Schizosaccharomyces pombe: one gene and its partner. The protein of the gene in region 2 interacts with the protein of the main gene of each other region in a biochemical or structural test. Each region holds a gene or a part of one and is shown on either strand. Other genes may lie near its edges.

The links.
Region 1: the proteins of hem1 (region 2) and shu1 form a complex in vitro, tested with the Schizosaccharomyces pombe proteins (one study listed by BioGRID).

Annotation. Positions count from the first base shown.
Region 1 is NC_003424.3:77,319-93,590, forward strand, and holds shu1 (protein Shu1), read right to left. Parts: upstream 8,961-16,272; coding exon 8,280-8,960; 3' UTR 8,248-8,279; downstream 1-8,247. Other genes in the region: SPOM_SPAPJ695.01C (uncharacterized protein), read right to left, coding at 260-613; plasma membrane gluconate:proton symporter Ght3, read left to right, coding at 5,618-7,285; siderophore-Fe(3+) transporter Str3, read right to left, coding at 11,049-12,941; hhy1 (hydrolase), read right to left, coding at 15,162-16,272. UniProt on the Schizosaccharomyces pombe protein: High affinity heme transporter involved in the assimilation of exogenous heme during conditions of low cellular iron.
Region 2 is NC_003424.3:3,924,309-3,941,328, reverse strand, and holds the start of hem1 (5-aminolevulinate synthase), read right to left. Parts: upstream 1,665-17,020; 5' UTR 1,067-1,664; coding exon 1-1,066. Other genes in the region: plasma membrane sucrose/maltose:proton symporter Sut1, read right to left, coding at 3,549-4,732, 4,799-5,276; SPOM_SPAC2F3.07C (uncharacterized protein), read left to right, coding at 5,496-5,801; karyopherin/importin beta family nuclear import signal receptor Kap104, read left to right, coding at 7,261-7,368, 7,491-10,115; SPOM_SPAC2F3.05C (xylose and arabinose reductase), read left to right, coding at 11,693-12,520; single-strand DNA-binding protein Rim1, read left to right, coding at 13,012-13,360, 13,445-13,548; DNA-directed RNA polymerase I complex subunit Rpa49, read left to right, coding at 14,069-15,346; sec67 (translocation subcomplex subunit Sec72), read right to left, coding at 15,998-16,576. UniProt on the Schizosaccharomyces pombe protein: Catalyzes the synthesis of 5-aminolevulinate (ALA) from succinyl-CoA and glycine, the first and rate-limiting step in heme biosynthesis.

The DNA of each region.
Region 1 (16,272 bases), 3.9 Mb from region 2:
TTTGCCAGTAAACTTCCTTATTTGAGGGAAATGCGAACAGAAATCTCGTAGACTTATTGCATTTTCTATTCGATATGACTTGGGTTTTGTTGGGATCTACCGCTAATGATGTTTTATTTTATCGATTTGCTGATTAGGCAGATTAGGAAAATTAATAAAAAACCAAAGCTGATAAACGTCAGTTTTACCTTGACTCTCGGTATATGATTTAGCGATTTATTAATTTAGGACTAAAGTTTCCAGCTACGCTGTTTGGTGTCTATTTGGGATCCAAGTCGCTGTTTAATAGGTGAATTGATGAGTTGAAAGTTTCGGGCTTGTCATCGCTATTGGTATCGAATATATAACAGTCAGTGGTATACTGACCGGTTAGCAGTTGACATAGATAAGCATCAGTATCATTATTTATTTCTGTAACGTTATTGACCAGATAATTGTAAGCTCCAATTCGTATATCCCCTGTACTAAATAGCATCACTCCTTGCTGATTAGTTGCATTAGCAAGTAATTCAGCATATTTAGAAGGCAGCTTAGCATACTCGACGAAAGTTAAATCAACATTAGCTAAAATAAACTTCAGAAATAAACAGCAAATGTATAAAAGCAATAACATGTGGGAAAGTGTCGGAATCTCTTAATTGGTGTAACTTATAATGATTTAATTCCTACAATTTGGATCGAAAGGATACCAATTTAAATTTACAATGTTGATATCGATAATTTGAACAGTATTGACACAAGATTCGGCTGGGAATAAGTCGGTTATCTCCAGGAGCGCTAGATGTACAAATTTCAGTTACAATTTCCGATCGGATTTAAAGCTTCGTTAAACTGCGCCAGTGAGCTCAGACTAGTCGTCTTACAACATTGCGAAATGCAGATAACAGGAGTTAAAAGGATGTTTTTATATGTAAGTGACATGCAATCTTTCATTTAATAGCTTATAACCGAAACTGATGAGCAATGTTCAATTGAACCCTGTTTGTAGTTTTCTTGACATCCATTATCAACCGATATATTCATTAAACAAATAGGATCTTGTGATTATGTATGTATAAACAGGTTCTATTTGTTATCCCAACGCATGACTTGTAGCGTAATATAAATTAATGTAATGATGCCGAATGACAACCATACTTTTAATACAGAATTCATGAGTCCGAAACTGTATTTTTTTTAACAATGATGAACTTTACTGTAAAATTTCAAATAAATGTCATCATGTCCCAATGTACCTTGTCGTTTTTAGATGACTTTGTTTTCACACATCATCGTTCCCACCTTTTATCTTATAAACGGTGTAACCACCCACTCGACTATCCTACTGCTATTTAAAAACTTAATAATGAACTTGAATTAGAGCCTTCCAGTATTCTTTTCATAAAATTCAGCCACTCCTTTTTTTTTCATCATCCAGCTTCATCAATAGTCTTTGATATGTCCTAGAAATTGTTATATACAAATACGATGAATTGTTGCAAACGAGTTTCTTTATTTTTTCCATGTAATTTGCTACAGTCATCATTAGAAACCATTATTATTATTATTATCATTTTTAATTAACTTTCAATACTGTTTCCCTATATTATTATCAATACATATTATAAACGCGCTGCATTACAACTATTTCCATTATACGTGCAAAAAAAAATATTATTCATGTTAAAACCAAATCAGAAAAAATTTTTTTGTCATTGCAAGCTCTACCTTTTTATATGTGCGCTCATTCCAATTTAATTAATTTTTGTTTTAGGTCACCTTATTTTGAGAATGTATATTTTTTTATTAATGTTATTACACGTGTTTATTTTCAAATTGAATTTACTACTATGTATTATATAAAATATATTTACACTTTATTTTATTAATATTTTTCTAAACAACTTACTAGTGACATTGAATGTTCCATAGGTCGGAGTATTGGTTCCATTTACAACTTTTTTAGATATTTTTTTAACGTACATATCATTATCGCCACCTTCAATTTATTACATTTTCTCTTTATATAAGTCTAACTTTATAATTTTTTTTCCAGTTCATTTTCTGTCAGTGGCTTTAATCCTTTTACGTGCTTAAATTCATTTTCTTTTGTTACATTATCCTTATTTATTCATATGTTGTTTTCACACTGCTTTTCATATCTTAGTTTCGATACTACAATATGCTCACTATACGTAGTATTTGATTTATTTAAATGAATGATTATTCTCTTCATATCAAACAGGTGGTGAATTTTATCTCTGAGATGTACTAGCTACTCGCCAAGCGCTGAAAGTATTAATCTCTTGAAGGAGACATTCATTTGTTTACGTGTGATCTACAAATACATATATATATATATGAGTAGCAATTTTATAATTATAGTTATAAGAAGTCTAAAAGTGAACCGTCACTCATATAGGTTATAAGCTAACTTAAGAAACGAGGATCATTTGTAGGTTTATTTATAACCTTTTTAATCCACATCTTTAATTATCCGTGTAAACAGTCGGTTAGTTAACTATACGGATTAGTTGGCAGATCTTTACTAGTATTCTAACGTTTACCAAAGCGACAAAAAAGTTACGGTTAAGTGATACAAAAGAAAGAAAGAACAAGAGCTTTGGAAGTAAATGCTAAAAAAATTTTAAGTTAACTATTTATTGCGTTAAAATAGCCCTATAAAAATTGTGAGACTTATTTGACTATAATGAAAAGATCTTGAAGAATCATAAATTACTACTCAAGCATATTTTGTTGAATTATGATAGCTATAAGCTTTATTTGCTACTTTATGTTTTTTTATAAATTACTACTCTAGAAATATTATATACGAAAAATTGTGACTCAGTTACATTTCTCTATTATTATCATGCCATCAACCTAAACCGCTCAACAAAGCAGAGTACTTAATGTCAGTACGATAGAGACATTTGCTTTTTGGGAGTAATATTGATAAGTTTGCTGAAAAAGAGACGGTAATATTTCTGTTATGATTTCTAAAATAAGTTACATGCAAAGGATTTTTCAGCAACAACGTAGAGGAGAAGATTGAGTTAACGTAATTCTGTAAACTAACATCGTAAAATAGAAAAGAAAGTAAGCATCCAAAAGCCATTTGTTTCCCTCGGAACACACGACGAGTTAGATTTAACTTATACACTATTCGCAGTAAAATGTGAAGAAAATAAATAAATGCGGTAGCAGGAAAACTAACAATATGTTTAATCTTGTGTACAGTTAAAATGTTAAGGAGTGCGATTCATGTGTAATAACTATTAAATCATGTACTAATCAAAAATTCTCAATAAATTAAATGCTTGGATATTTGAATATCTGTATTAATATAGACTTTGCAGACTTTAAACCAGACAATCAGCTTGAATGTCGTTTGGCTATTAGCTTCAATCGAGCGTTCCTTGCCTGTTTTTTCCAAAAAAAGGAATTGTTGTTAACAAGTTACGAGTTGCGGAAGTTCATGAATGATCCAACTTGAAAAAAAATATACTTCTAAATTTGCACCTTTAACCAAAATAAATATTTCTTTTCAAAGCCTTTTTCTTTCGCGTTAATTGGAAATCGTATTTTTTATTCGTTTTCGTGAAAATCTGAGTATCCCTTCAATAGCTCTTTTTATGTTTTCTATTAAAATAATAGTTTGTAAACAAAAATAAGAGTAAGGTAATACATTCACCACTATTTCACTATACTCGCAGAAGGTAGCGCTTTATCACGAAGCAAATGCAAGTATGAATAGCAAACGGTTCCAATGAGTGGCTTCCAAACAGCATCCCTTCTTTAAGATATTTTTAAGCTACGGGATAAATAGGTTCGTGATTGGAATTTTCTTGTTATTTTTCAGAAGAAAAAAAGCTTTGAGTCAACTTTAGTTCTAATTTGATTTAACTTAAACAATGAAAAAAAAAGTAAGAGACTTTACATATTAATAGGAAGTTTGAATAATTGCTTCCATTTTCTTTAAAAATATCAAAGTGTCAGAAGCTTAGTAACAGTTACGATTAGTCAGCTCGAAGCATATTTTTTAAAGCATGCTTTAAGAGTTGATATACATTCTGCGCTTTATTTACTTTTAAAAACTAAAATGCCGATTCAACTTAAATACAGTAACCTAATATTAGATCATTCCTTTGTAGACCGATCTTGTGGAATAGAAAGTGATAAATAAGCATTACGGTTTACTTGTTCACTTTCGGATTACGAATATTAACGATATCAAAATAAAAAGTGGTAATTAAACTTACTAAAGAACAAATCATTTGTCTAAGCCAATATCATATGGGTTAAACATATAAATGAAAACGACAAAAATTTTAACGTGAAGACCATAGGTAAAATGTGTAACAGAAAGTAGCAAACAGGCTTAACAGCAGCAAAATAATGCACCCTAAATTGGAAGTTTGGCAAGGTAACTTCTAAGCGATTGAACTACCATTTTAGTTTGTTACTCATTTCTTGCTTTTCCTTACTCGTTTACTGATTTTCTCCACATTTATTTACATCTCCACTTTTAGTATTAACTTTTTAAAACTTTATTCACCGTCGGCCTTGCTAACCCAGTTTTCTGTTCTCCACTCCTTTTGAATCGCAAATTTAGAGCCTTTAATTTATGGTTTTCTAGAGCTTTTAAACTTCAGTCTCGAGTTTTAACATCAAAAACGCCCAATCATAGTTATTTTTACTACATCATTTAAAGTTTAACAGCTGAGGGGTACCTTTCGTCATCATGCTTGTCATGCTCTCGACAGCCAATGTTAAACGGATTACAGGTTCGGGGCCGAAAAGCATTTTGAAAGAAGTGCGGAGAAACTCTTTGAGGTAGTTGAGAGATGTGAACTCTAAACCCATTTACCGTTTGAAAGTGCGCTTGCCAGCCTTTTTGCGTTAAACCTTATATTAACCAACAGTAAAAACGGGTCTTTCAACGTTTTAGCAAAATGAGTTGCTTAGTGGATTTACCTCTTAAAGTTTCGAATAGCTGATACTGGGTGGGGCAAAGTTTATAAGTTGAATGAAATGTGGAGAAGTAAATAATTTACGGTTTCATATACTTCCAAGTCAATTCTACGTCAGCCATCCAAGAAACATGTTTCAAAATGGAATAGTATATTAAGGACAATTTCTCTTCCTTTATTCTCTCAATCTAAACCATTAACTGTTTACTCTGTGCTTGCGTTCATTCAATTTATTGGTGTGTTAAGAAAAAACCCCTTGCGGTCTTTTAGTTTAATAAAGTTCTTAACGAACTTTTTAACACATTTCTTATTGTTATTGTAATCTCCCATTTTTCTGCTTTACAAAATTTTCGTTTGTGTCGTATTCTATTTAAAAAAGTCCTTGGCTGATTTCGAATTCTTGCCCACTTTTAGGGTTGCTTTTACTTGACATTTGCCTAATTTTCCCTTTGTTGCTTTCATTTGCATTATACTTAATTCTCTCGTATTTATTCATTCGTTTCGTTTTTACGTTTTTTAAAAAATCCGTGGAGTTTTTTCTTTCTTTCTTTAAATTCTCCATTAAAATTTCCTTGTTTGTATCGTCTTTTACTTATTTTGATTTTGAGGACACTCTTTTTCATCCTTTTTTGCTAATATTCTCCTGATCTTTGAATTCGTTAAATATGAATAGGTTTATTACATCAATTCTCGTGGTGTTTATCTCAATGTCCGGATGGTTGCAAGGCGCCGATACTGGTTCCATTAGCGGCATCTTGGGCATGCGAGATTTTCAATCTCGTTTTGCTGATCGTTACAATCCCATTTCAAATTCCTACAGTTACTCAGCATGGAGACAAGCTTTGTTGACTGGTACAATCAATGCTGGCTGTTTATTTGGTGCTATGCTTTCTTCGCCGTTTACCGAAAGAATTGGTAAGAAATACTCTATTTGCTTTTTCAGCGGGGTATATATTATTGCAGAGCTTCTTTTAGTCACAGCAGTCCCTTCTTGGATTCAAGTATTGGTTGGTAAAATCCTTGCTGGTGTTGGTATCGGAGCTTTGTCAGTCTTGAGTCCTGGATACCAATCTGAAGTAGCACCACCACAAATTCGTGGTGCAGTTGTTGCAACCTATCAAATTTTCTCGACAGGTGCTGCTTTAGTTGCAGCCTGTATCAATATGGGAACTCATAAACTGCGTAAGACTGCATCATGGAGAACTTCTTTTGGCATAAATATGCTTTGGGGAATCCTGTTAATGGTTGGTGTACTCTTTTTGCCTGAATCACCGCGTTATCTTATTTACAAAGGACGAGATGAAGAAGCTCTTCGAATTATGTGCAATATGGCGGAACTAAGTCCTGAAAGTGAAATTATTCAAACTAATTTTAATACCATTAAGAGTGATATTGAAATAGAAATGGCTGGAGGTAAAGCAAGATGGATAGAAATTTTCGGTAAGGATATTCGATACCGTACCTGCTTAGGATTTCTTGTCATGTTGTTCAGAGAGTTGATTGGTAACAATTATTATTTCTATTATGCTACACAAGTTTTCAAGGGAACTGGTATGACGGATATATTCTTACCAGCCGTTATTTTAGGTGCTATTAATTTTGGTACAACGTTTGGTGCTTTATACACAATTGATAACTTAGGACGTCGTAACCCACTAATTTTTGGAGCTGCTTTCCAATCGATATGCTTCTTTATATATGCCGCTGTAGGCGATCGAAAGCTCATATATAAGAATGGTACTAGTGATCACAGAGCAGGATCTGTAATGATTGTGTTTTCTTGTTTGTTTCTTTTCTCTTACTGCTGTTCTTGGGGCCCAATGGGCTGGGTAATTGTGGGTGAAACTTTTCCCATTCGTTATCGCAGTAAATGCGCTTCTGTAGCCACATCGGGAAACTGGCTGGGTAATTTCATGATTTCTTTTTTTACTCCTTTCATTAACAATGCGATCGGATTCAAGCTTGGTTACATTTACGCCTGCATTAATTTGTTTAGTTCATTTATGATTTTCTTTTTGGCTAAAGAAACTAAAGGTCTTACTTTGGAGGAAGTCAATGACTTATACATGTCCAACATTAAGCCATGGGAATCTTACAAATATGTAAGAGAAATTGAATCTCATCGTATACACTTTAGTAAAGAAGAAGAAAAGCGTGAAAGAGAGAAATCGAAAGGTATTCGCGGCCAAGAAGAAGAATTCATTGAAAATGCTGATGAAGACAATAACGATAGTAGTTCTTCTTCAGGATCTGTCGTGTCTGCTGTCAAGCCACGGAGATCCGCTGTTTCCAACGATCGCTTTTCAGAGGATTCACACCCTACGTATATCTAAACAAATTTTAAAATTAAAATTCTAAATGTTCCTGTATTTCTTTACATTTATTTTGTTTTTATATTGATAGCGAGGCAGTTCTAGATTTATTATCATGAGGCCGAATATTCTAAATTTTAAAAAATGAATAAGAGCTTTGAAATTTCTGTTTTTGTATTGTTTAATGAAATATTGTTGCTATGATTTTCTAATTTTGAGGTATTTGTTTGTTATTCGAAGTATGGCAATTAGTATTTATCCCTGTGATGCGAAATGATACCAAATTTCCAGTATTTTTTTTAAAATCCTTCCTATTCATAATAATTTTTTCTCTACATAACGTTGTCGTTAATATATTGTTAAAAAAAATTTTTTAAGGCGCAAAGAAGTAATGCATACATTGGAAATTCAAAACTTACAGAAAGTCCTTCTAAGTAGAAAGAAACCGCATTGCCCCATTAAGATGTAAAGCAGTTTAAAAGATTACCAATGATTTATGTAAAGTTAAAAACAATACTTTCTTTTTAGTGGTAGAAGGAATGAGCTCCTCCTCTTTTTTTTACTACCCAAGGGAGGGCGATCACTTGTGAATTTTTTTCTCAAAACTAAACTTATTTAGAGTACCATTTGATAAAAATTTATTAGTAAAAATTCGAATAAAAGTATTTATTAGGCCGTTACATGCCACTAAATCAATCACAAGAAAACGCTTTCGAATCATAATAGCAATTAAAAATAGCTCTTAATAATACTTTAATATTAATAGTTTTCTATTTTCCAGATGTCTAACTTATGTAATTTAAATCACAAAATTGATGACTTATACTAAGTAAATTAATTAAATAAATTGGCCAATAAAATAGAATAAAAGCATGTGATAAGAGTATTAGCAGGACTCAAAAAATGGAATGAATTAGAGTCATAAGCCTTCAATCATTTTGGCTTTTTTTATTCATTTTTTAACTTTGGCCATAACTATCCTAGTAAATAATGGTATTGTTAAAGAACAAAGTCTTCAAAAGTTTAAAACCAAGTAAAGACCTACGGATAATAAACAACTAATGAAATAAGAAGGCTTAAAAATTGTTGATGAAGCAGAAGAGGAATCAGAAGAATCAGCCGATGCTGTATAGACGTCTCCCTTTTCGATATCTCCAGCCTCTTGGAAATGTGTATAATTGCAAGTATAATCTGCTACGGTGCTATCAGCAGTATCAATTGTCCAATTTCCATAAACATAGTAGGAGTCTATATCTGAATTCATTGCAGCCGCCGTTGTCATATTGGGCTTATTTCCATCACCACCACAGAACCAGTATAAATTTTCAGTAAAAGTATCTGCTGACCAAGTTGTTCCGCTCATGTCTGTGAAATGAACTTCCTTTCCGCTGTCACAAATCTCCAAAACTGTATCGTTTGCACAATTCGCAACGTAGCAGGACCCAGTAACGTTGTTGGTTTCACTTAAAATAGTAGTATCACAATAAAAGCTTCCATTAAAACGAACAATTCTCGTAGACAAATAATTTCCTTCAACGTAGTTTAATTCAGAAATTTCGTTTGGATATGTTAAATTCGCGTAGAATCCAGAAAATGTGAAATCGACAGTCTCTCCTTCCTCATTTGAGACGTATGCAGAGTTAATGCCTTTTAAGAACAAGAAAATCAGCACAAAATAAATTTTTAAAGAAATCATAGCTACTTAATTTTAAGCAATTAGGCTTTAAAAAAATAACTGGTCGTATTTTATTTTTTCCAAGATAGTTTGTTTTTGTGCCATCTTATATAGTACTGGAAATTCAATGAATTAAGCTAAATTATCTGATTATCTTGATAACTGCATCAGACTATCCCTCACTAATTGATTCTAGATTGATTAATTGTTATTAAAATATATAAATATCGAGTTAATTGCTCGAGACAACCGAAAATCATTTAACTACCAGCATCATCCCGTACTACGAACCGCATAATCCTAGCCTTTCTGAGGAACAATTTTAAATTACACCTTGATTGCGAATTTTTCAAAAGTAGCGATGCAACTTAAAAGTAATGCAATTCTAAGATAGCAGTATTCTATTTGTAAATTTATCATCAAAAGGCGCAAAATCATTCAAATTTAAAACTTGAAATAAAATAAACATCAGAATCATGTAAATCTATTCTTTCCAAATTTATAACACTGATAAGATTCTTGCCGATTAAAATTAGTTACTTAGCCAATTCCCATAAACCATGTGTGCATTATGCACAACTGCCGCATCCTTGTTAACTTCTTATGTTCCCACTAAGATTGATGACGAAACCTAATTACGATTTTACTTATCAGATGGATATTGTGCATAAAATCTAGGCGGGAGTGAAAAACGGTGCAAAATGAAACATTCGGTGATGATATAACGAACGGTCTACAACTACTGCTTTACCCCTCTGATTTTTTCCTTGTTTTTTAGCTCATTTAATTTTCCTTTCTAATCAACGATTTTTCTTAGAAATTTATGTTTGCATAAGACTATCATAAATCATCACAATTCACTAATTGATTATTATCCTCTTATCGATCAATAACACACTGCATTTCGAGTTCTGTGCTTACAACCGAGGCGTGCAGTTTTTAGAACTTGATAAACTAATTGAATTTTCATTAATTTACCTCGATTACATTTCATTCCTTGAAATATATATACCTTCCTAGAAGGGTAAACAAATATTAATGAAGTAGATAGGTTTTAGATTCAATTAGTTTCTAAAAACTTCCTCATAATTTTTCCGAACCAGATGGTGACTTTTCTACATGCTCTGTGTACTTGAATAATGCAACATGAACGCTCAGTATTCTAAAAAATAATAATACTTGTAGCAGTTGAAATCCCATAGCGCACGATATGCCATAATTAAGTAGTGCGTTGCCCGCTAATTCTCCGTACCGTCTAGATTGGCATGTAATGTTCCATCAGATAATCAATAAGGTTTATCAGATTTCACAGCCAATTACTTCCGGGTATTGTATATCACTACATCGGAGGAAAAAGAATAAATTTCATATATTGGTTCTAGTCGGCGTACAAGTCTTAGAATGTATATTATTTTAAATATTTTATTTTTTATATTTTAAATTTTGACGTGACTGTAAACTAACTCAGCAATCCATTACTTAACATTTTTTTTGTTGGCAGATTTATTACTATGTTACTTAAGGCAGTTCGCGTTAGTACTAATTATGTTGCTTTTATTTTAAATATTGAAGACGAACAGTACACACTTTCATATTTTTTTTTTTTAACAATTAACTATTTTTTCTCTAAATAACTTTACTCTAAACGTTTTCCTGCTATAAAATCAATTTAGATCTGAATTATCTCGGAATGAAAAAAACGAATTAATTGATTTTTCCGTTCTATCATTAAAAAAAAAAGAGCATGATAATAAAACCCCCAGTGTTTACGTTATTTGTTGAGTTTTCTGCAAAATAGTGTCTAAGGCTACTTACGTTTCGAATTTAATGTACGAACACAAGTTTGTGAAGCTGCATATACTATTTCCTTGGCTAAATATTTGAGGTAAATAACACATATTATACTTGTATTAAGAAAAATATCGAGATTTTATAATATGCAAGCTGAAATGAATATATTACCCAACTAACCACAAGGGATTCCCAAAAAAATGAAATTCAGAATAATATGATAATTAACTAGCAACACAATAATGTGCGGATTATATAGAAAGGCCACGCAAAAAAACCCAAATAAACTAAACTAAAACAAAATTTCTTTTAAAAATATCAAATAATTATTTTTTCCTCTTGTGTGGTTTCTTTGTCCCCCTTTTTTTTATGATCTTGATCTCCTTCAACAGCATTTTGTTGATTGCCGAGGTAAAAATTACTTTGCCAAAATGCTGCAGCTAAAGGTATAAACGATAAAGAAACTGCTGGAACAAGTAAAAAGAACATGCTTCTGGAATATGCTTTAATGGCTCCATCACGAATTTCTGTGCCAACGGGATACTCTCTTATGAGAGAGGAGTCGCTGTAAAAGTTATAAACTTGTGTATCATTTATAGAAGATGGCAAGTATTCTCTTAGATACTTTGGTACTTTATTTGAGAAAATTGGAGACGCGATTGCCGCTCCGATAGCTCCACCAATATTGGTATAAAGTGGTAACAAAGAAGAAGCAATAGCTAAGTCTTGATGAGGCACAGAAGCTTGGCATGATACCTGAGACCCCACCACACTGAAGGAACCACCCATACCAATTAGAATCAATGACCAAGCCAAATCTACTTTTCCTGTAGCCGCGAAATTTGGTCGTATCAAAATGCCGTATCCCACAATTTTGATTACTAAACCAATGATTTGCAAATACTTGTACCTGTGAAAAACCCGGTGCATGGCACCTGCAAATACTCCAAAAACACAAAGTGCAATCGTCATTGTGTTGTTGAAGTATGTCCAATCTCTGTAAGACCAATCGTATAAAATCCAAGTATATGTTGTAAAGTACATCGATTGTAAGTAACCCGCTAAATAATAAAAGAAATCAATAATAACAGCTGTAATAAACGTTCTGTTCATGACTCTGCGAGGACATGATGGATAAGGAGCAATGAACATTTCATAACCAGAGTATGCGATTAATATTACCCCTCCAACGACCATCATTGCAATCATGCTTGGATTTTTCCATCCGTTCTTAGCATAACTAGTCAAAGAAAATGGCAATAATAAAATTGACCATCCAACTCCTAATAATATTAATCCAAAAAGGTCAACTTCCAAGACAGCTTTCCAGAGTTTTTGCCATTTAGATTGTTTATTTTTGTTCTTTTCCTCAGTTTGATAATTAATAATTTTCTTGATGTTTTCATCTTTATTAGCTTGTCGTTCCAGATACATCAAAATAATAACCGCAGGAGTCATAACAGCTGGCATAATAATTGCAAACATCCCATAACCCCATCTCCAGTTAGAATCTATAATACCCTGAACAATAAATCCCGTGAACCAAACAGTAGCTATGTATGGAGTACTGAGCAAGGCTGTCATAAATCCTCGCCATTTGAGGGACGTTAAGTCGCCAACGACAAGGGTATTTAAATAATCTAACCCTGAGCTGCCGATTGAAATGAAAACCGAACCTATAACATAAGCAGATATAGTTGAACTTGAGGCTACAACAATGAATCCAATGACATAAAACAGTAATACAAGAGTGTAAGTCATAGGTCGTGAAGTAATATCGGAAAATTTTCCTAGAATTGGTTTACAAACAGAAGAAATAATCGCAGTAGCAATCTCTAAAGTTGAAATCATAGAAGTCCTGTTAAATGAGGCTGTTGCATACACTTGATAGCTGTATGTTGTTGAAGATTGAATGGCACTTGCCCAAGAACAAGCAAGAATTGCTATACCAAACGCGTACGCCAAGTACATTCCTCTTTTATTTTGATATATAGAATCTCTCACAGCCTCAATTTTTGATACTCCTCTGTGCTGTAAAGAGTTATCCATTTTGGAATATGTCTCATTGGTATTGTAGCCCGATCCTTTTTCCTCGTCAGAAGAGAAAGCCTTTTCAAAGACAAAATTTCCATTTTCGCTTTTCTCCTCCGGCTTTGCATCCTGCAATTCAACTTCATGATCTGATATAGAATGTGTTTCTTTTGCTTCCATGATTATTCAATAGTAAACAAAATAATATGCAATTGCTTCGCTGGATGCACAACTTCTTTTATATGCTTTTATGGACGCTTAACCTTAAATCGCATATCAGATCATGGTTCGGATTATGAAAAGTTTTTGCCTTATTTTGACAAAACTCCAAACGGCACCGCGGTTAAGAAGCTCGAATTGAAGACTTTGACAAATGAGATCTCCACTTTAGTTAGTAGTTATTCGCAATTTCCTTCTTTGTACAGTGATATGCCGATGCCAAGACAACCCTGGTTACTGATTAGCTAATTTATTAATCCGATAAAGTCGAGTATAGTTTGAGCGATTTTAGCTAATTTTAATTTAGTCTTTTGAAGCAGTGAATAAACTTAACATGCGTGTTTTCCTACTTATTTACTGAGTTTATTTGTTCATACATCTTTAAAATTTCTCAATTCTCAAGTATTAATTATGCTAAATATCAGTAACTGAAGGGATTGAAACATGTGGTTACATGAAGCCTTGGCAAGCAAATTTTGAAACTACAGTGCACTGTTGTTAAGCTAATTAACTATACTTATGTCACATATTACATCGTATGTTCACTTCAAAATAGATATCGCTATCAGATGATCTTTGCTTTTCGTCGACTTTTGTCTTAAATTATCAGATTGCCAACGTCACATGAAATCGGAAAAAATAGTTGTGTTGCGAAATACTTCACATATAGGAGTAGTAATTCCGTGAAGTCTCAATCCTTCCTCTCATTAACTTGGTGTTTATTTTTTTAAAATGCTTTTCTAAGTGTAAACAGTTTTATCCTAGTAAAAGAAAATTTAATGACCAAAAACCCATATCTCTCTAGTTTCAAAATCCTTAGTAGTCTTCAGCGTATATTAATTGCTGTGGAAAACCTATGTCTTTTTGGGATGGAGTCTGCAAATTTTTTTTATTAGTTTTTATGAATTCTGGCTTATGAACTCTTATTAAATTTCATAATCAAAAGCACCTTTGCCAACTTTGACTAATATACCTTAAGAAAATTTCATTGAACTTTCTTGTTCTCGAGCAATTTATTCTCGACTAACCAAAATTTTATTTGATTTGAGCCTTATTTGTTCACACTAGGAGCATGAAACTTTCATACCGTTTTATTTGAGCTTTGTATTTTCGTGCACCAAACACAACCTAGGTTGTAGTATTATATCAATTTTTGCTTTATAATTTAAAAGACCAGACGACATGCAGCTGATTTTCAAAGTTGCATATGAAGGAAGCTTGTATAATTTGACTCTTCTCTCATGGGAGGTAAAATTTTTATTATTTTTTTTTTGGGAACCGGCGTACTAATGGACATTTGATCAGATAAATCGGAGTTCTATCAACCGCAAAAAGGATATAAAGGCGAGGCTTTCCTTTTACAATTTTGATGATAGAGGTTAAATAAAAAGTTTTTATTTTCCGTATTTCATTTTCCGGTTACAAATTCGTCCTTTCGGTTGGCATGCAAAAATGAACATCCTTGTTATCGCTATAACATTTTAATGGCTGCAATTTGTCAGCACGCAGTAATTCTGTAAATATCTTTAGCAATCGCGGATTTTTTTTTTTGAAAATTAAAAATTATAAGTCAGACTAATGAGTGCAAAAAAATTTCCATTCCATCTTAACCCTATAAAGTCATATCAGAAGTGGAACAGTCAACTTGCTCAAGTGTCTTCCATTAAACCATCTTATTTGACCAAATAATATTGTTAAAGGCATTGAAAGTACCGCTATTATCTCATCTGATAGTGACCATAAAATCATGAAATGGTTAACAGTGTTGAAGTGAAACCAGAACAAAGAAAACCATGTTTCAACACGCCAGAATTAAATTAAAAGGCTCAAAAAATAAAAAAAAGGATGTTAAATAGGTAGACGCGACGATTACTGTTTAATAATGAATAGCAGACTCGGGATCATATTATACTCTTCAGTAATGTTACTTTTCATTTAAGTTAAATGATAACAGCAAAAACAATCATAAGTTTTAGGACTTGAACGTGATATTTGTTGCGCTAAATAATGAACTTTTTGAGCTTAACGAAAACTTTGAGAATTCACTTATTTATCAACTACAAAGAAAATTAACTACACAATTATTTGGTTCGTTCCATTTGTTTTCAATCAAAATTTTTATTGAGTAAAAAGCTTACACATGAAGGATATAGTTACAGTTTGTCATCCGTTGATCAAAGCTTAAATTTCTTTCCAGCGGCCTTTCACATCCACTTTGGCACGTTCTTGAAGCTTTTTTCCATGCTTTTTAGCCTTATCAATCAATTTTGGTTCATCAATCGTTAATAAAACATGATCTTCCACAATCAGTTTTCCATCAATTACTACTGTCGCAACATCAGCTCCAGTAGCAATATAAACCACAGCAGATACAAGATCTCTAAGAGGTTGCGCATAAAGCTTATTAGATAAATCTAAAGAAATGAAGTCAGCTTTTTTGCCGACCTCTAAAGAGCCCAAATCATCTCTTCCCAATGCCTTTGCACCATTTATTGTAGCCATTTCAACGATTTTCTCAGCGGGAACTATAGACGGATCACCATGTAAAGCCTTTGGAAGCAAAGACGCCATCTTCATTTCTTGCAATAGATCCATAGTGTTATTACAAGGACATCCATCACAACCAATCCCAACTATTATTGACTTCTCGAGCATTTCTTTTAGTGGGGCGATTCCACTACCTAGTTTGGAATTTGATACCGGGCAATGAGCCACAGAAGTTCCATTTCCGTGTTTCTCCAAAATTTCTAAATCTTGAGTATCGAGATGAACCATATGTGCTAAAACAGTCTTTGGTCCTAAAAGACCTAGATCTTTGCAGTATGTCATCGGAGTATGTTCCTTGCTAGCAAAAAACTCTCTGTCGGCTTTTACTTCTGCACAGTGCATCGTAATTCCAATATTATTTGCTCTGGCAATTTTAACCATTTTACGATACAACTCTTCAGAAACACCACCAGGTGTTCGTGCTCCGAACCATATCTCGACTCGGCCATTTCCTTTCCCATGGAATTTGCTATGGCTTTCAACTGCTTGGTTGAGCGAATTAGAATTTTCAATCAAACCCTCATGCATGCTAACTCCAGTTTGAGTAGCATACCTTGGTTGATCCATTACCACTTTTCCTATGCAACCCCTTATTCCCGATTCTATTACCGCTTTGACCGCACCCTCAATTCCATACCGTTGAGCAAATAGTGCCTCAACGAATGTTGTGGTCCCAGATTTTAACATTTCCGCAATGGTTAATTGCGAAGCAACGTATCCATCTTCTTGGGTGAAATTACCCTGC
Region 2 (17,020 bases):
CAGCTCCACGAGGTCCGTACATACCAACAGCATGTACTTCATCCAAAAATGTGATAGCACCATATTTCTTAGCCAAATCACAGATTTCGGAAATAGGTGCAACGTTTCCACTCATACTATAAACTGACTCAAAAGCAATGATCTTTGGGCGATTTAAGGGAAGGGAAGCAAGTTTGGCTTCTAAATCAACAAGATCATTATGCTTGAATATGATTTTTTCGCAACGAGAATTACGAATACCATTAATCATTGAAGCATGGTTCATTTCATCACTCAAAAATATGCAGTTAGGCAATTTCCTGCCAAGTGTAGATAAAGTGGCATCATTGGCCACATAGCAACTTCCAAAAACGAGAGCAGCTGGTTTTTGATGTAAATCAGCCAAGGACTTTTCAAGGCGTACTGCATGCTGATTATGTCCAGCAATGTTTCTAGTACCACCGGCACCACCACCATAGGTTTCAATACACTGGTGCATAGCCTCCCGAATTTTCTTATGACCACCCATGTTTAAGTAGTCATTACTACACCAGACTTCAACGCGCGTATTCGGATCAGCCAAATGAGCAAGAGGATACTCTTTGGCGAGGCGGTTAATATTATTGAAGTAACGATAAGATTTGTCTCGATGTTTCTTATCAAGTTCTTCACGATAAAAAGTGTCATAGTCGAATCTAGGAGTGGTGGCAGGTCCAACACCGTTCAAATCCGAAGCATAGTGCTTTGGCATTTGGTGCTTTTTAGTAACAGGAGTAGTGGTAGCAGCCTCAGCAGCAGCCTTGACAGCATCAGCATGGCGACATGTACGAGAACCAGTATTGACGACGCCAGCCTTTAGATGAATCTCATCCAAAGAAGGCTCCATAGCCATTTGCTTGGAGTCGGATTTAAACCCACGAGACACGTCAGCACCAGTAGCAGCAGCCACAGGAAGTGCATGTCTAACAACTGGACAACGGGCTCCTGCGCGAATAAGACCAGCACCAGCCATACGACGCAAAGCACTAGGATCGGCTTTACTAACGAAGGGGCAGTGCTTTGCAGCTAATTTCACAACGCGTTCCATTATTTAAATAAGAAAAATAAAGAAAGAGAGTGACAATGAAAAACCCAAAACCAGCAAAAAATCGATCCAATCTTATAGAAAAAATGCGACCGAGAGAAGAGGATATAGAGTCAACGCTTTGACTAATATATATTTTTTATTTCTTAAAACCCTTTCAATGGATCAACCAACTTTCAAAGTGTCTATCCAATCCTTCTTACAGAGCAAGAAAAAGGTTGAGCAAATTAGAAAAAAAAACAATCCAACCAAGACCTAGCGGGCAAATAACGATGCTATCGACTGTGGTATTAGAAGGTACGAATTTGCAACACCCCGGTATAGTTATTTAGGGAAAAATATTACGGTATCCAAATCGATCTCTGGATAACGATGGGAAACGTAGAAAGAAAGCAACAGGTCAACCTTTAGTTACTTATTTAAAGAAATAGGTAAGATAAAAAATTTACCTTACTATAAATAAGACAGAAGATGTAACGATGAGAAATATTATCGGAAAACCAGTCAATAAACTTAAATGTTTTCAACTGGACGATATTACAAGCACAATTCGTTTCGGAGGTTAGCTTTCGTTAAGTTTATGCCTAAAGAATTGCTGTTCAGTTAGGAAATTCAAAAAAGAAAGGAGGAATTGCGGATTTTATTGCAACAGCGGATTTCGTCAAGATTGTCCTAGATAGCAACTATTACAAATCGCTGTGCGGGCCTAAAAAGGAACTAGGTTAGTAATGAATCCTGAAACGGACGCCTCGCTATTTTTAAGCACCAACAAGACTCACGAACAAGAAAAAAAAATCCCCGACGGCAATTTCCCGAAGGAAGTAAATGTCAACGCCCAATAATGGCGCATCTAATTACATGCATCCCCAAACGAATGGAAACAAGATGGCCGCTAGTAAAAATGAAATCAACTTGGAGCAGCTTTTCCATTCAGAGATGCATGCGCAAATGGCGAGGAGGATAAGGATGACTGTGCGGGTGCACGATGCATGCCTTATGGATTTTCTTTATCGTAGTCTTACCTTCGCTTAAGCGGTTTCAGCGCAATTTTGTCCTTATAAACACAACTGCTAGAGACACTGCCTGTCTCGTTCCTTACCAAAAATTAAAAGAAGAAAGTGAATCAACGAACTTTTTTTTTTTATTCCCAAGAAAAAAAACACTTTTATTATATTATTCCTTCGTATAACAGGAAAAAATACGCGTTCAATTGTGGCTGTCGCAATTTTGTCCAAACCAAGCTGGGGATGGTAAAAGGTAAAAGGAGTTTGTGCATTAGAGGAAGCAGTAGTGAAAAATGTTACCACAATTCATGCACCTACAAAAACTGTCATCGCTTTTCTAAAATCGCTTCATTCTTTACAATAGTAATTTAATATACTTCTGTTTTGTAGCGCAGTATGGAAATCATTTTTTTTCTGAAATCCTCGGGCTTTTCCTAAGTGAAATTGTAACTTAATTACACCCGGTTTTGTTCACCAGCGGGGCGGTCGGCTCCCTAAACTCGTAAACCCCCATTGTTCCTTGTCAGGATTTGCTCGCAGACAATCCGACCGCCAGTGCGGAAGAAAAATTTCCACTACCGCTTAGCGGGAAGATTGCGACAACGCCTTGTCGAGTTGGGTCGTTTGGCTTAGACAAGGAGGACACGGAGTCTTAGCTACCTAACACACTAAGCTGACTTGGCAGGCTATACAAAGTAGGCAGGTAGTTTAGATGCTAATTGCATGTTCATAATGGTATGACCGATTAGATGAAAGAGCACATGGAGAATTACATAACATGTTATTTATTACAGCGGAAGCTTTCAAAAGTTCTTATGCTTACAAACATATTATTATACTGAATTATCATTCTATATGACTGAAAATTCTTTTTATAATTTGGCTCTTTTAGCTTAATTTGAGGCTCTTTCTCCGTTTTAACTCTTTCTTTTTGTAATGAAAACAAGCTTGGCAATGCATTGTTTTTCCCTTTACTGTGATCAACATGGTGTTGTTGCCCTTTTTCTTACGCAAAGCTCGCTTCTTCTTACTGTATACTAATTTAAACTCGGATCAATCGAGAAAGTTCAAACATCTGCTAGTATTACTACTGCCACCATGGTTTTTTTTGTGTCCATTAATAGAGAGATAGTCCAATCAAGTTGATTTTCATTTTTATTACTTTTTATATCCTTTATACACTATAAGTATATCTTTTATATTGGTTCATGCTATACTCTACACAAGTATGAATCTTGTATCAAATGCAAAGAAAAACTTTCCTTTTCCATCTTGACAGTGTATTGTTTGCCCAATCAAACAAATCCTTTTGATAATGCCATTACTCTTCGTTGCCTCTCCATTCTTTTATTCAAATTACACTTTTAGAAAAAACAGCAATTGCTTTCACTCATATTTCGTCAATCGTAAATTATTCATAATATTCATGTTCACATATCATCGAATTGCATATTTTTGCGACATTCATCATCTGAATTCTTTCAAAAGTTGATGGGCAAAAGATGCCGGCATTGGTACGCGGCTAGAAATGCAGATATACCTCCAATTCTCAACACCCATGCTATACTATTGTCGGCGATGTCTCGATGACTGCCCTCCGATTGAATAAATACAATGGTGGCAATGATGGTGCTCAACACTTGGGGGGCAGATATAAATACATTGTGAACACCAATCATTTTGCCACTGCTTTCTCGTAATCCAAGCTTCCCTATTTCTGAAGAAAATAGCGAATATGGAATCCATAGAGTACATGCCCAGGACAGTCCACAGATAGCTACCATTGCCTGCGCTTGCCATGATGTTTGCAAGAATATCGTGCTCAACATACAAACACCAAAAAGGACATGGGAGCTCAACCACAGAATAGGAAGAGTAAGTCCTTTGATTTGTACCTTGGAGGATATCGTTGTCATAATTGATCTACTAGACGGTAAAAGCCTGCGTCGTGAGGGCTCATTTTCCGAACGGAAAGAAGTTGTTTCGCTCAAATTACCAAGACGGGGTGTATTAGTACCAGTTCTTATATTTCCGAGATCGTTTCTTTCTTGAATGTTGTATTCATTATTAGATGCATCACTCGATTCGTCCTCCTCATCATCCTCCGTGTCCTCGAGCAACAATGGAAGTGCTGTATTTGCGGCAAGAGAAATGATAGCAAAAAGCAGTAATGCGAACGACCCTTGACGAGTCGCCATGTCCCAATCTTCTTCATGGCCTTTAGGAGCATGGCGTAAATATAAAATACCCACATAGGTAGTAATATAAAACAAAAATGGAAACCATCCAAAGTATGCAAAAAATTGAACAAAACAAATTCTTTTTAATGTAAATGGAAGTGCGGTAATACTTTGTCGCATAGTTGTAAAAAATTCAAAGATTTCTCCAGCAACCGATTTCTCGTGTTCAACTGGTGGGAATCTCCTTTCACTCACAAATATTGTTGTGATGGTAACTGTGAGTACCAAGGAAATGGAGGCAAGTACGCAAAACACCTGTAACTGTGTGAAATTGAGAAAGGAGAAGATGCGATATAGAGGTAAATAGCCTAGTAAGTACCCAAGCACATTGCCTACACCTATCATTCTTCCAGCCCAGGAATTTGCTTCATGCTGTTGATCTGAACGGACTGAATCAACAATTAAAGATCGAGTGCTAGCCATTACTAGTTATAAAGTTAGTCATTTGTATGAACTACTACTCTGAAAACTAAATCCCTAAATTCACATACCGACATTGACGGCCACGTCAAGCAAATAAATGCTAATCGTAGCCAAAACGATAGTAACACGTTTCATTAGAACCTCATTGCTAAATATAAAGAGGCAAATATCAGGGGCCCAGCCCATAAGGAATAAGCTGAATGTTCCTAACAAACTAGCACAGAGCATGAACGGTCTCCGCCGACCTATTCTTGAATTAACCCGGTCGGACAATATACCAGCAATTGGCTGAATTAATATTCCAGTCAAAGGACCGGCAATCCATATAATTGAAGTCCATTCTTTACGAAGACCAAGTGAGAATAAATACGGTGTACCATAACCAAGTTCAACCGACCAAGTCAATTGAACTCCCAAAAGTGAAACTGTAAGAGCTATTAAGTAGAGGGAAGAGCGAGAAGGGATAGACTCTTTAAAAGGTGATGATGCCTCATTTTCGGAGGATAGAAGTTGTCCATTCTCCAATTGATTTTCATCTACAGACATATTTTAATGAAACTAAGCTTTAAAAGCAAAAGAGAAATGAGAGGAACGTTTGGTGGAACTTCTTTGGTAAGAGATATCTGTTCCTACAACAAAGTTCAGGGGGATTCAATTATGATTGAGAGAAATGATTTTTTAATTTTTCAAAATAATTGATCGCTGTCTAACTTGCAATGAATGTATCTGATCCTTGATAGCATACAACAGGCCACAATGTTTTAAATGTTAGTCAGAGAGAATAATTCAAATGATAGAAGTATAATCGAATATGTGATAAAAATCCTTCTAATTTCGGGGATTTCAAGAATTATTATATTGATTTTAGCAATGTTTGAAAGTATTAGACATATAATTTTTCACAACGATACCAATCCCAGTGATGCTCGAAAGTTTCAAATGGCAATTTGTAGATTAAGTTCGCAGAAAAGCAGAAAACTAAAGAATCCGATTGAAAGTTCAACGACGAGTCACAAAAAGAAAGGATACGTAAGAAAATGTTATGAATGTCTGCAGATACAGGTTAGTTGAACAAAAGCGATTAAAATGAACATAGAACAAAGCATCGTGTACTTACTTTGAAATCGTCAATAAGCAAAAAGCTTCAATTTAAAGCAATAAGCAAGGAATAAGAAATAATAATAAATAATTAAATAATTCCTTACTAATAAAGTACCTTTTAAAAGTATGAATTCTTATGAATCCTTTCAAATTACTACACCTTTTAATATGCTTGGTTTAGAGGAGCGACTCCATCAGCCCAGCTCCGCGTAAATGTCATGTTGACGTTACACTGTGATTCTGCACTATAGGACATTACACCGCGGCACACTGCATTCCTGTATAAGTCAAATGCTTTTTATCTTTTTGAAATATCGTATAAATAGATGCCGTTAAGTCCTAATGATGATTAGTATATTTGAATCTTAATTTAATCATTAAAACTATATAGAATATTATCAAATTTAAACTGCACTCATCAATTTACTAGTAGCTATCGCACTTCCAATATTATTATAAGAATATGTATACATATCAATAAACATCTCCAGGGGCGCATTCTGAATACAGCAATATTCCGGTAAAATGGAGAACTTTTACGGTATTTTATTGCATCCTTGAAAACTAAAGAGCAGTTCGTAGCGAAACGATATATATTTAGCGAAACACAATGTTGCAATCAGTATACTCGTAAGCTATATTAACGTGATTAAGTATATACATAAATATTGTAAAAAAATAAGGAGAACGCAGCCATTCCTTATAACGATGAATAATTCTTCTTATGGTTAATGTACAGAGTTAGACATATTTATGATTGACCTAGATAATTGTCTATGCTACTCAATAGCTTTCTTTGCACGTGTTTATTGGGCCTGAACATAAATTGGAGAAGTTAAAATATTGCCACGTTCGAGCAATAGTAATTTAAACTCAATGGTGTTATCCGCGCATGGCTTGTCGCTCAAATACTTCTCTTGAATAACATGGAGCTTAAATATAATTCTTTTTTAGTATTCAAAACAATATCAATCCGCCCCTAAATTCCTAAATAACATTGCATGGTTTTCCATAGACAGTGCTATTCTCTTCGTCAGCAGGTAACATGCAACCCAATGGACTTTTCGTAAATTTTTTGAAGAAAAATCAACAAATTTAAAGTGATATAGGGGAGCTACGTGCTAAAATTCTTTTTTTTTTATTCTGTAAATTAATTTATTTAATACATGAGATCATTATACTGTGCTGTGAGTGTTGAGATGCGTCTACGGGAAATTTGCAATATGAACTTTTTACTTGGTAGAAAAATCCTGTCAATACATGTTTAAATGTGAAAACAAATACTGGAATCCATTTATTTTTTAACGAATCATAGCATACCACTCTGGTAAATGTAAATCTTGGAATTGCTTGGAATGGTACTACCTGCCTTCCCCACACTCATCAGAGAACTACTACCAACAACTTCTTACAGTAAGTACAGAGTAAGATGGGGGACAATCCTTGGGTTCTCCAGGAACAAGTCCTCGTAGAACTTTCAGAAGTGATAAAGAATTCACTCTCCGAAAACTCTCAGACTAGGAATGCTGCTTTAAATGTAAGATTTTTTTTTTCTAAAATTAAAAGTTTCTTTCTCGTTGTAGAAGATGCTTCTTTTTACTTCACGTGTGTAACGACGTGTGAAGAAGAAATCAAATGGCATAACTAACTTTATTATAGTTGCTTGAGAAAGCAAAGGATATACCAGATCTAAATAATTACCTTACTTGCATTCTCATCAACGCTACGGAGCTTAGTGTTTCAATTAGATCTGCTGCTGGTCTTTTGTTGAAGAACAATGTTCGTGTTTCAAGCTTAGAGTCTGGTTCAGGTTTGCAGAGCCTCGATTACACAAAGTCAACAGTTATTCGCGGTTTGTGTGACCCTGAACAACTCATTCGAGGCATATCTGGTAATGTGATCACTACAATCATTAGTCGTTGGGGAATTAGTACTTGGCCTGAAGTATTGCCACAATTAATGGAAATGCTTTCTAGCCCTGCTTCTACCACTCAAGAAGGAGCATTCAGCGCCTTAACTAAAATATGTGAGGATTCGGCTCAAGAGTTAGATCGTGATTTCAATGGTACTCGTCCCTTGGATTTTATGATACCCCGGTTTATTGAACTTGCTCGACACGAGAACCCAAAAATTCGTACGGACGCCCTTTTCTGTCTGAACCAGTTTGTTCTAATTCAAAGTCAATCTCTCTATGCCCATATTGATACATTCCTTGAAACATGCTACGCCTTAGCAACAGACGTTTCTCCAAATGTGCGTAAAAATGTCTGTCAAGCTCTTGTTTACCTGCTCGATGTCCGTCCTGATAAAATTGCACCCTCCTTGGGAAGCATTGTCGAATACATGTTGTACTCTACTCAAGATTCTGATCAGAATGTCGCATTAGAAGCTTGTGAGTTTTGGCTTGCAATTGCTGAACAACCCGATCTTTGCTCTGCTTTAGGTCCTTATTTGGATAAAATAGTCCCCATGCTTCTCCAAGGGATGGTTTATTCAGACATGGACTTGCTGTTACTTGGTAATGATGCTGACGACTATGATGTTGAAGATAGAGAAGAGGATATTCGTCCTCAGCATGCAAAGGGTAAATCGAGGATTACCTTGAATACCCAGGGACCAATTACTCAACAAGGTTCTTCCAACGCCGATGCTGATGAATTGGAAGATGAAGACGAGGATGATGATGAATTTGACGAGGATGATGACGCTTTCATGGATTGGAATTTGCGAAAGTGCTCGGCTGCTGCACTGGATGTTTTATCATCGTTTTGGAAGCAAAGGTTACTTGAAATCATTCTTCCTCATCTGAAGCAAAGTCTTACGAGTGAAGATTGGAAAGTTCAAGAAGCCGGTGTTTTGGCCGTTGGTGCCATTGCAGAAGGTTGTATGGATGGAATGGTTCAATATTTACCAGAATTATACCCTTACTTTCTTTCGCTTTTAGATAGTAAAAAGCCACTGGTCCGTACGATTACATGTTGGACCCTTGGTCGATACTCCAAGTGGGCTTCGTGTTTGGAGTCCGAGGAGGATCGTCAAAAGTACTTTGTCCCACTTTTGCAAGGATTGCTTCGCATGGTGGTTGATAATAACAAAAAAGTGCAAGAGGCTGGTTGCTCGGCTTTTGCAATTCTGGAAGAGCAAGCTGGCCCTTCGTTAGTTCCTTATCTAGAACCGATCCTTACCAACCTTGCTTTTGCATTCCAAAAGTACCAACGCAAGAATGTGCTCATTCTGTACGACGCAGTTCAGACCCTCGCTGATTATGTAGGATCTGCTTTGAATGATAAACGGTATATCGAACTATTGATTACCCCATTACTTCAAAAATGGTCCATGATTCCTGATGATGATCCTAATCTTTTCCCTCTATTTGAGTGTCTTTCATCTGTTGCAGTGGCTTTGCGTGACGGATTTGCGCCATTTGCAGCTGAAACGTATGCACGCACGTTCCGAATTCTTCGCAACACCTTATACCTAATCACTACTGCACAAAATGATCCTACAGTTGACGTTCCAGATAGGGATTTCCTTGTTACTACATTGGATTTGGTTAGTGGAATTATACAAGCTTTGGGTAGTCAAGTTAGTCCTTTGCTTGCGCAAGCTGACCCACCACTCGGTCAAATCATTGGCATTTGTGCCAAGGATGAGGTGCCGGAAGTTCGTCAATCTGCTTATGCTTTGTTGGGAGATATGTGTATGTACTGCTTTGACCAAATACGCCCGTATTGTGATGCTTTATTGGTGGATATGCTTCCCCAAATGCAACTTCCTTTGTTACATGTGAGTGCATCGAACAACGCTATTTGGTCAGCTGGCGAAATGGCTTTGCAATTAGGAAAAGACATGCAACAATGGGTAAAGCCGTTATTGGAGAGATTGATCTGTATCCTCAAATCTAAAAAATCGAACACTACAGTACTTGAGAATGTTGCGATCACGATAGGCAGATTGGGTGTTTATAACCCGGAGCTCGTTGCCCCTCACCTAGAGTTGTTTTATCAACCTTGGTTTGAAATCATCAAAACGGTGGGTGAGAATGAAGAGAAAGATTCCGCGTTTAGGGGATTCTGCAACATATTGGCGTGCAATCCACAAGCACTTTCATACTTGTTGCCAATGTTTGTCCTTTGTGTGGCCGAATATGAAAATCCTTCAGCCGAACTTCGTGATATGTTTCAAAAGATTTTACAAGGATCTGTGGAGTTGTTTAATGGTAAGGCATCCTGGCAAGCGAGTCCTGAAGTGCTCGCACAGATTCAGGCACAGTATGGTGTCTAAAAATTTCACATTTGAAAAGCTCAATAAGCACCTTTTCTTTGTTGCTTTTTTATGAAGGAAAGAGAAAACAAAATTTAAAAACAAAAAGTATGAAACAAGTTGTATGTATTATATTAGGATATTCAGGTGAATGTGGAAAACAGGAAGAAGAAATGCAAGGAAGACTAGATATTAATAATTTGCATATTGCACATTTGAGGTTACAAGAATGACGGAAAACAAAATTGGAAAAATAACCAAACCCAGAAGGGTTGGTACTTTTGGGTTTGGTTTTATTTAATAGTTCCGCCCAAGTATCGACGTTTGTATGTATGTTTCATGTATGTTTGCGGTTCAATGACTTTTGTAAGAAAACACAAAAAATATTCAAGAAGAACAGCATTTATCAAAGAATCATCATCTGAATCCTTTTATTTCTCGGCCATCTGTGCAGTGGGAAGGTTTTAACTTGCATTTCCCCTTTCGCCTAAGGATATTGAGGAAAGCAAAAACACCCGATGATTATCTTTCAATTGAGGCTGCACATTCAAACAAAAAAGGTTGATTTCCTGCATAATGGGTTCTGTTGCATGTACAATCGTTTTTCATCACTTACTTCCTGATGCGAAAATTCTTTTACTTAATATTATTTATTGAATTGAATTCACGTTCATGCAGTCTACGTAAAAAAATCAAACAACGAAAACTAATCATTGTAGTTTAAAACTTTTCCCTATGTTTCACATATGGAATGGAGCGGCAATAGTCTGGTAGAGCAGTCCATTTCAAAGTAGCGCATTCCATACTATTTTAATCATACATTTACGTCGGTTTAAAAGACACGAATAATGTTTAAAGGTAAGATAAATAAAATGTATAATAAAACTTGAGAGCGTTTTCTCTTGTTGATTATAAGTCTACCACACCTTGATGTCAATTAAGCTAATACTCAGCAAGTACAAACGCATTGTTCATTAAATGCATTTTTATCAATAATTACTATTGGAGTTCAGTCTTTTGCTCTCGCATAAAAATCCGCTTAAAAACTATAAAACCCGCTCAATCACAAATTTCTCAAAAAACCGCTATATTCGCGATTCAGCATTTGTCACAAGCTTCGATTGATCTCATACATAGCATTTTATTCATTTCATTCTCGAACGAACATTGCTGAATTCCATCGATCGATTAGTACGAATTCGAAGCTTAACGAACTTTTGTGACGAAAAGCTGGGTTAACATCATTCTTTACATGTCGCTGTACGTAAGGTAAAAACGTGATGGTGCTTCGGGATGTTGCTTATCATTACCACTCATTAATGTTATATCAGAAGTTTTTCATGGTATAAATAGTACTGTGTTGTTCGCATGTCGGGTTAGCAATACCATTTTAGTGAAAAGAATTTATAACGTTCTTTTCTTTGGTAGTTGAAAATATTGAATATTTCAAAAATACTCAATAGCATTGAAAAACAGCTTGGTTATATTCAATTTTGCTGAATCTCGTTGATTGCTTAATTGAATAATTATCAATTTCCTCGTTCATTAATTTTTGACTTTTTTCTTTTAATTTAATTTTATTTTTTTGTTCATACATTATGTTGGGATCATTTGTTAAGTTAAACAATGGACTTAAGTGCCCTCAATTTGCTTACGGTTCTTACATGGTGAATCGTACAAAATGCTTCGATTCGGTGTATGCTGCCCTTCAATGCGGATATCGACACATCGATTCGGCTCAGATGTATCACAACGAGGCTGACTGTGGAAGAGCCATCCTTAAGTTCATGGAAGAGACTGGTACGAAACGAGAGGATATTTGGTTCACTAGCAAGCTTAATGATTTAAGTGGGTACAAATCTACTTTGAGCAGTATTGATGCCAGTGTTAAGGCATGTGGCCTTGGCTATATTGATCTGTTTCTTCTTCACTCTCCCTATGGTGATCGTATTGAATCATGGAAGGCGTTGGAGAAAGGTGTTGAAGAGGGAAAACTTCGTGCTATCGGCGTTTCCAACTTTGGTCCTCATCACATCCAGGAATTGTTGGACAGCCATCCAAAGATTATACCATGTGTCAATCAAATCGAACTTCACCCTTTTTGCTCCCAACAAAAAGTCGTCGATTACTGTGAATCCAAGGGTATCCAACTTGCTGCCTACGCTCCTCTTGTTCATGGTGAAAAGTTTGGCAACAAGCAACTTCTCGCCATTGCTAGCAAGTATAACAAGTCTGAGGCTCAAATCATGATTAGATACTGTCTACAGCGTGGATTCATTGTACTTCCCAAGAGTTCTACTCCCAGGAGGATCAAAGAGAATGGCGACGTTTTCGATTTCGAAATATCTAAAGAGGATATGGAGAAGCTCTACAACTTGGATGAGGATTATCATTCGGATTGGAACCCATGCGTTTCCCCTTTATAATATGTTAAATGATCGTCTTGTAAGAGCAGAGAATGCATTTTATTATTTATTTCCTCTGCTATCCCTAGATATGCTAGTATGATAGAATTTACGAAACTCAATTTATGTCAGCTTATATACCAAACATGCATCCAATGACTGTTAGTATGAATTAGTATGAATCCGATATTACTTTTATCATATACGATCATAGATTAGAAAATTCGTATTACTTCCATTGATTTGTAAATGCTAGCATAATGTATCGTAAACTTATTAGAAACCTAAAGTACCTCATGGAAATGGCTCATTTTGGGTAGAAATATATTCAGACTCTTTACTATGTAGCTAATTAAAAGCAAATTCTACCCTAACTTTGGTTTTATCAATTCACACACTTCTCCAAGTACTTTTCGCTTCGTATATGCGACGTATGCGCACTTCACTCATCCACAACACCACACAATAAGACTCCATTAATTGCTTTCCTGTGAGCTCAAGGTACTAAAAACATGCTATTCTTAAAATCCAGCAGAGCATTTTCCAAACGACTGTTTTCTTCATCGACTGTTCGTTATAGAGATATTCAACGTTTGACATTGACTGGCAATTTAACAAAAGACGTTGAGCGTTTGCAGTCTCAAAAAGGAAACGAATATATGCGTTATACTGTAGCTTCCAATAATGGAAAAGACGTAGCCCCTACCTTTCACTCGGTTTATGTTTTCGATAGTTACAATTTCGACAGACTTCAAACTATTTTAAGGAAGGGAACGCGTGTTTATGTGGAGGCCGATGCTGTTTGGCGTTCCGTCCCAGCTGGAAATGAAGGATCTCAAGCGAAAATGAGCCTGCGACATGGTACGCAACATTGCAATGGTCCAAGTTGAAGCCTGAAGCAAAATTTGAAAACAGAATATAGTATTTACTAACCTCTCTTATTAGTATCTGCAGACGTTTTATTTTATCCTCGTAACAAAAATGGCGATGAATCCGGAGAAGAGACTCATCCTGAATTAGACGCAGATCCTATGATTAACAGCTTCTAAAATTCGTGTTTCTAGTTTAAAAATTTTCTGCACTTTAGACCGTTAATATATTTGGGTGGTATTTTTCTAGGGATTATTGAGTTTAAAAAGTCTCCTAATTCATTTTCTCTGCATTATGCACATACTTGGTATTGCTATGTATTTTTCATTTGATGTTTATTTCATTATTCCGCTGGAAATAATCTACCCATGGCTCTTCTGATTTGTTTTTATAGACAATAATGTCTCTGCTGTAATGTTTTCATTGCGTTCTAGGAATTACTTAGTCACCTTTACTCCTTCTTTTTCAAAGTGACAAATTTGTTAGTCCTTTACAGTAAATTAATAATCATTTTTTTTTATTTTAAAGTGTACTCTACGATTTGTAATATTCAGTTTCTTTAATTCTTTTCATTTAATGACTGATCCTCAAACTTCGTTAAGTTAGATTTCGCAGCCTCTGTGACTGTACACTACACTTCGTCAAACAAGCAAAGCTCTTTAAGCGCTAGCATTTTTACCAACAGCATCCACTATTGGAATGGCAGGTGACGAGTTAAAGGGCAAGAAGCGGAAATATAGAGATTCCCATTCCGGTGATGAAAAATCCGTTAAGATATTGCCTTTGAGTGAATCGAGTTTACCACCACTTGTCACGACAATTTCCGGATTTTATCCACCCGAAAATACCCGGTTCCAGCTTCTCAAAAAGAGCAATCAGAGCAACAGAGATGCGTCGTTAATTGGAAGGACAGAGCGTGTTCAATTTGAGGCTAAAAATCAATCAACGGCTACGGTTGAGGCAAATTACTGTTTAGCTGTTGCTGATAAAACTGGTCGTGTAAAAAAGATTGTTCCAGCAAAGTATCTTAATACTTTTGAAAGAAATATTTTGGCACTTCAGGAGAAGGACAAATTTTTGAAAAAGAAGCATGGAACTGTAAGCGGTACTGTTATGGAACAGCGTGCCAACTTGGGTTTGGCATTTGGTACAAGAAAAAGTCAAAAAGCTATTATGGAAGAGTCCGCCAATCGTGTCAAAGCTGAAACTTTGGGAGATGTCAAGGATCAATTGGTTAGTAATGTTCAAAAAGCTACTGAAGCACTTCCAACGCAAGAAGATATCGCTGCTGCTCAAGCGCAAGATCGCCCTATTCCTCCTGTCAATGTCGGTGCTGAATCCATTGAAGATGCATACAAATTGGAGGACATTATTCCCAAAGAAGAGTTTTCAGCTATTTACATTAAGCCTCTGTTAGAAAACCCTGACGAGCGCAATTGGGCCAAATTATTGCCGTACCGTCACTCCTTGTTTATTAATGAACGCTTCCAGCGATTACTTTCCATTGAGGAGGTTGACCAGAAGCGGGCGAGAATTTTGTATTACATTTCTCTTTTGCAAGCTTTTTTGTTTTCTCGTCGTTCTGTGGGCAACCGTGAAACTTTACGTAAAAAATTGGCTGATCCACCAGAGATTCTTATTGATGGGTTGATTAAACGTTTTACTCAAACCACCGGTATTGGTAGCGTCCAAGTATCATCTCGAGAAGTTGATAAAATCATATGTTATATTCTGGTATTGTGCTTAATCGTTGATAATTACTCAACTGATGTTCTTACCTTGGCAAATGACTTGAATGTCAAGACCATGAAGGCTAATGAGCTTTTTAGAACGGTGGGTTGTCGAATTATGGCTTACACCGAAACTCAAAGAATGGCTTTAGGTCTTAACAAAACTGATGCTAAAAATCATAAGCGTGCAGTATTAAAAATTCCCCTAGAGTTCCCTAAACCTCGACGTGGACGCGCTAGAAATTAGAGAAAAGTACAGCGTTGTTTATTTTCAAAAAAATGTGTGTGTGTTTTTTTAAAAAAAAAGAAGGACGGTATATATAGAAGAAACAACTACTGAAGTTCGTGATGTTCGATATCTCCACTGCTTATAATTGTTTTGGACGTCAAAGCGACATTGAGATATCCAAATAAAGTACCAACAAATTTTCAGAAACTTCTTATGGGAATACGGGATTAAAGGTGTTTTTTTATTATAGTGGAAGTACAGAAAATAATAAAATTTTGCATTGTATAATACTTTTGCTATAAGGCAAAGAAGGGTGACTTAGATGGTAACTAACTTTCAAGCAAAAAAGTTACCGTTTTACTCAATAAATCCTTTGGAAAGTTATAACATTGTTGTTTGACTATAGGGTAACAAATGACAATCGAAACTTAGATTCATGTTCAAAACCACCGTATTTATGATGTGCTAGGGGATGGTCTTTTGTATACAGTAATTGCTACAATCACCTGAGCATTAAATGAATTGGCAATAATATCAAGTTAGTATTAATTTTGAAATGGATTAATTATGTGGCCGTAAGTGTTTATGGTAATATGAAACAACACAAAGAAAGGAAATAAAAGGAGCGTGCAAATCCAATGATCATTTGAAACCATGATACAGTTGGTTTTAATCTTTTTCAGTATAACTTGCCCATAAAGCCACCAACTCGTTTCTCGTAACTGGCTCTGCCAAAATTAAACCGTCTCGTACAACCTGTTTAGCCTCTTCTATGCGATGCATTGCCTCCAAAGCCTTTGCTTTCCTATAATAACACTTTCCATAATTATTTCGAATTTTCAAAGCAGCATTTGCATCTGCTAAAGCTTCGGGGAATTGGGAAAGGGCAATCTCAGCAGCCGCCCGATTACACAACATAACACTTGCTTCTTCACGCGTAAGAATCGACGGTTCCCAAGTACAGCGATTCAAAGCGAGTTGTAATGCTAATCCATATAACTTTTTTGCCTCCTCATACTTTTTGCGTTTAAATGCCTCGTTTGCAGTTTGCTTCATCTTATTAACTTGGGTAGACAAGGCCATATTTGGCTTAGCAGGAGGATAGGGAGGTGGAATAAAAAAAGGATATTTAAACGTAGCTAATGACTTGGCGTATTCATTAACCTTTTTGCCCAACTCCAATTCCTTCCCACTCCATTTTGACACATCAACTTGAGGTGCAACCACCGATTCTTGTTTAGCAACCATCGAAGCAAAGTTTTAAAAGAAGAAGTAGTGAAGCTGCTCTTAATGTAAAGCACAAAGCTCGGATGGATTATTATGTACAAATAATTTAGAGAAGACAAGCAATGTTCAATGCAAGTAGTAAACTTGAAAGTGTTAGCAGAACGTGTCACAATACTTTAACACACATAAATACTAACTACGCAGTTTGTTATTTAATTTTAACGATGTGTAGAACTGCAATGAGCTTTATGATCTATTATATTGCAATATTGCAAAAAGCAGGTAATACAAGTAGCAACCGAGGACATATATAATATTTTATGTACGATCTATTGTTACCTATCATTAATATAGCTTTAACTAAACTGAGGAACGAGATTCAGCTGTACCTCTATTTATAATTGTTCTAAAGGGTGTTTTTAATAAAATTTATTTAGTTAGCGGATAGTTACCCATAATTATTAA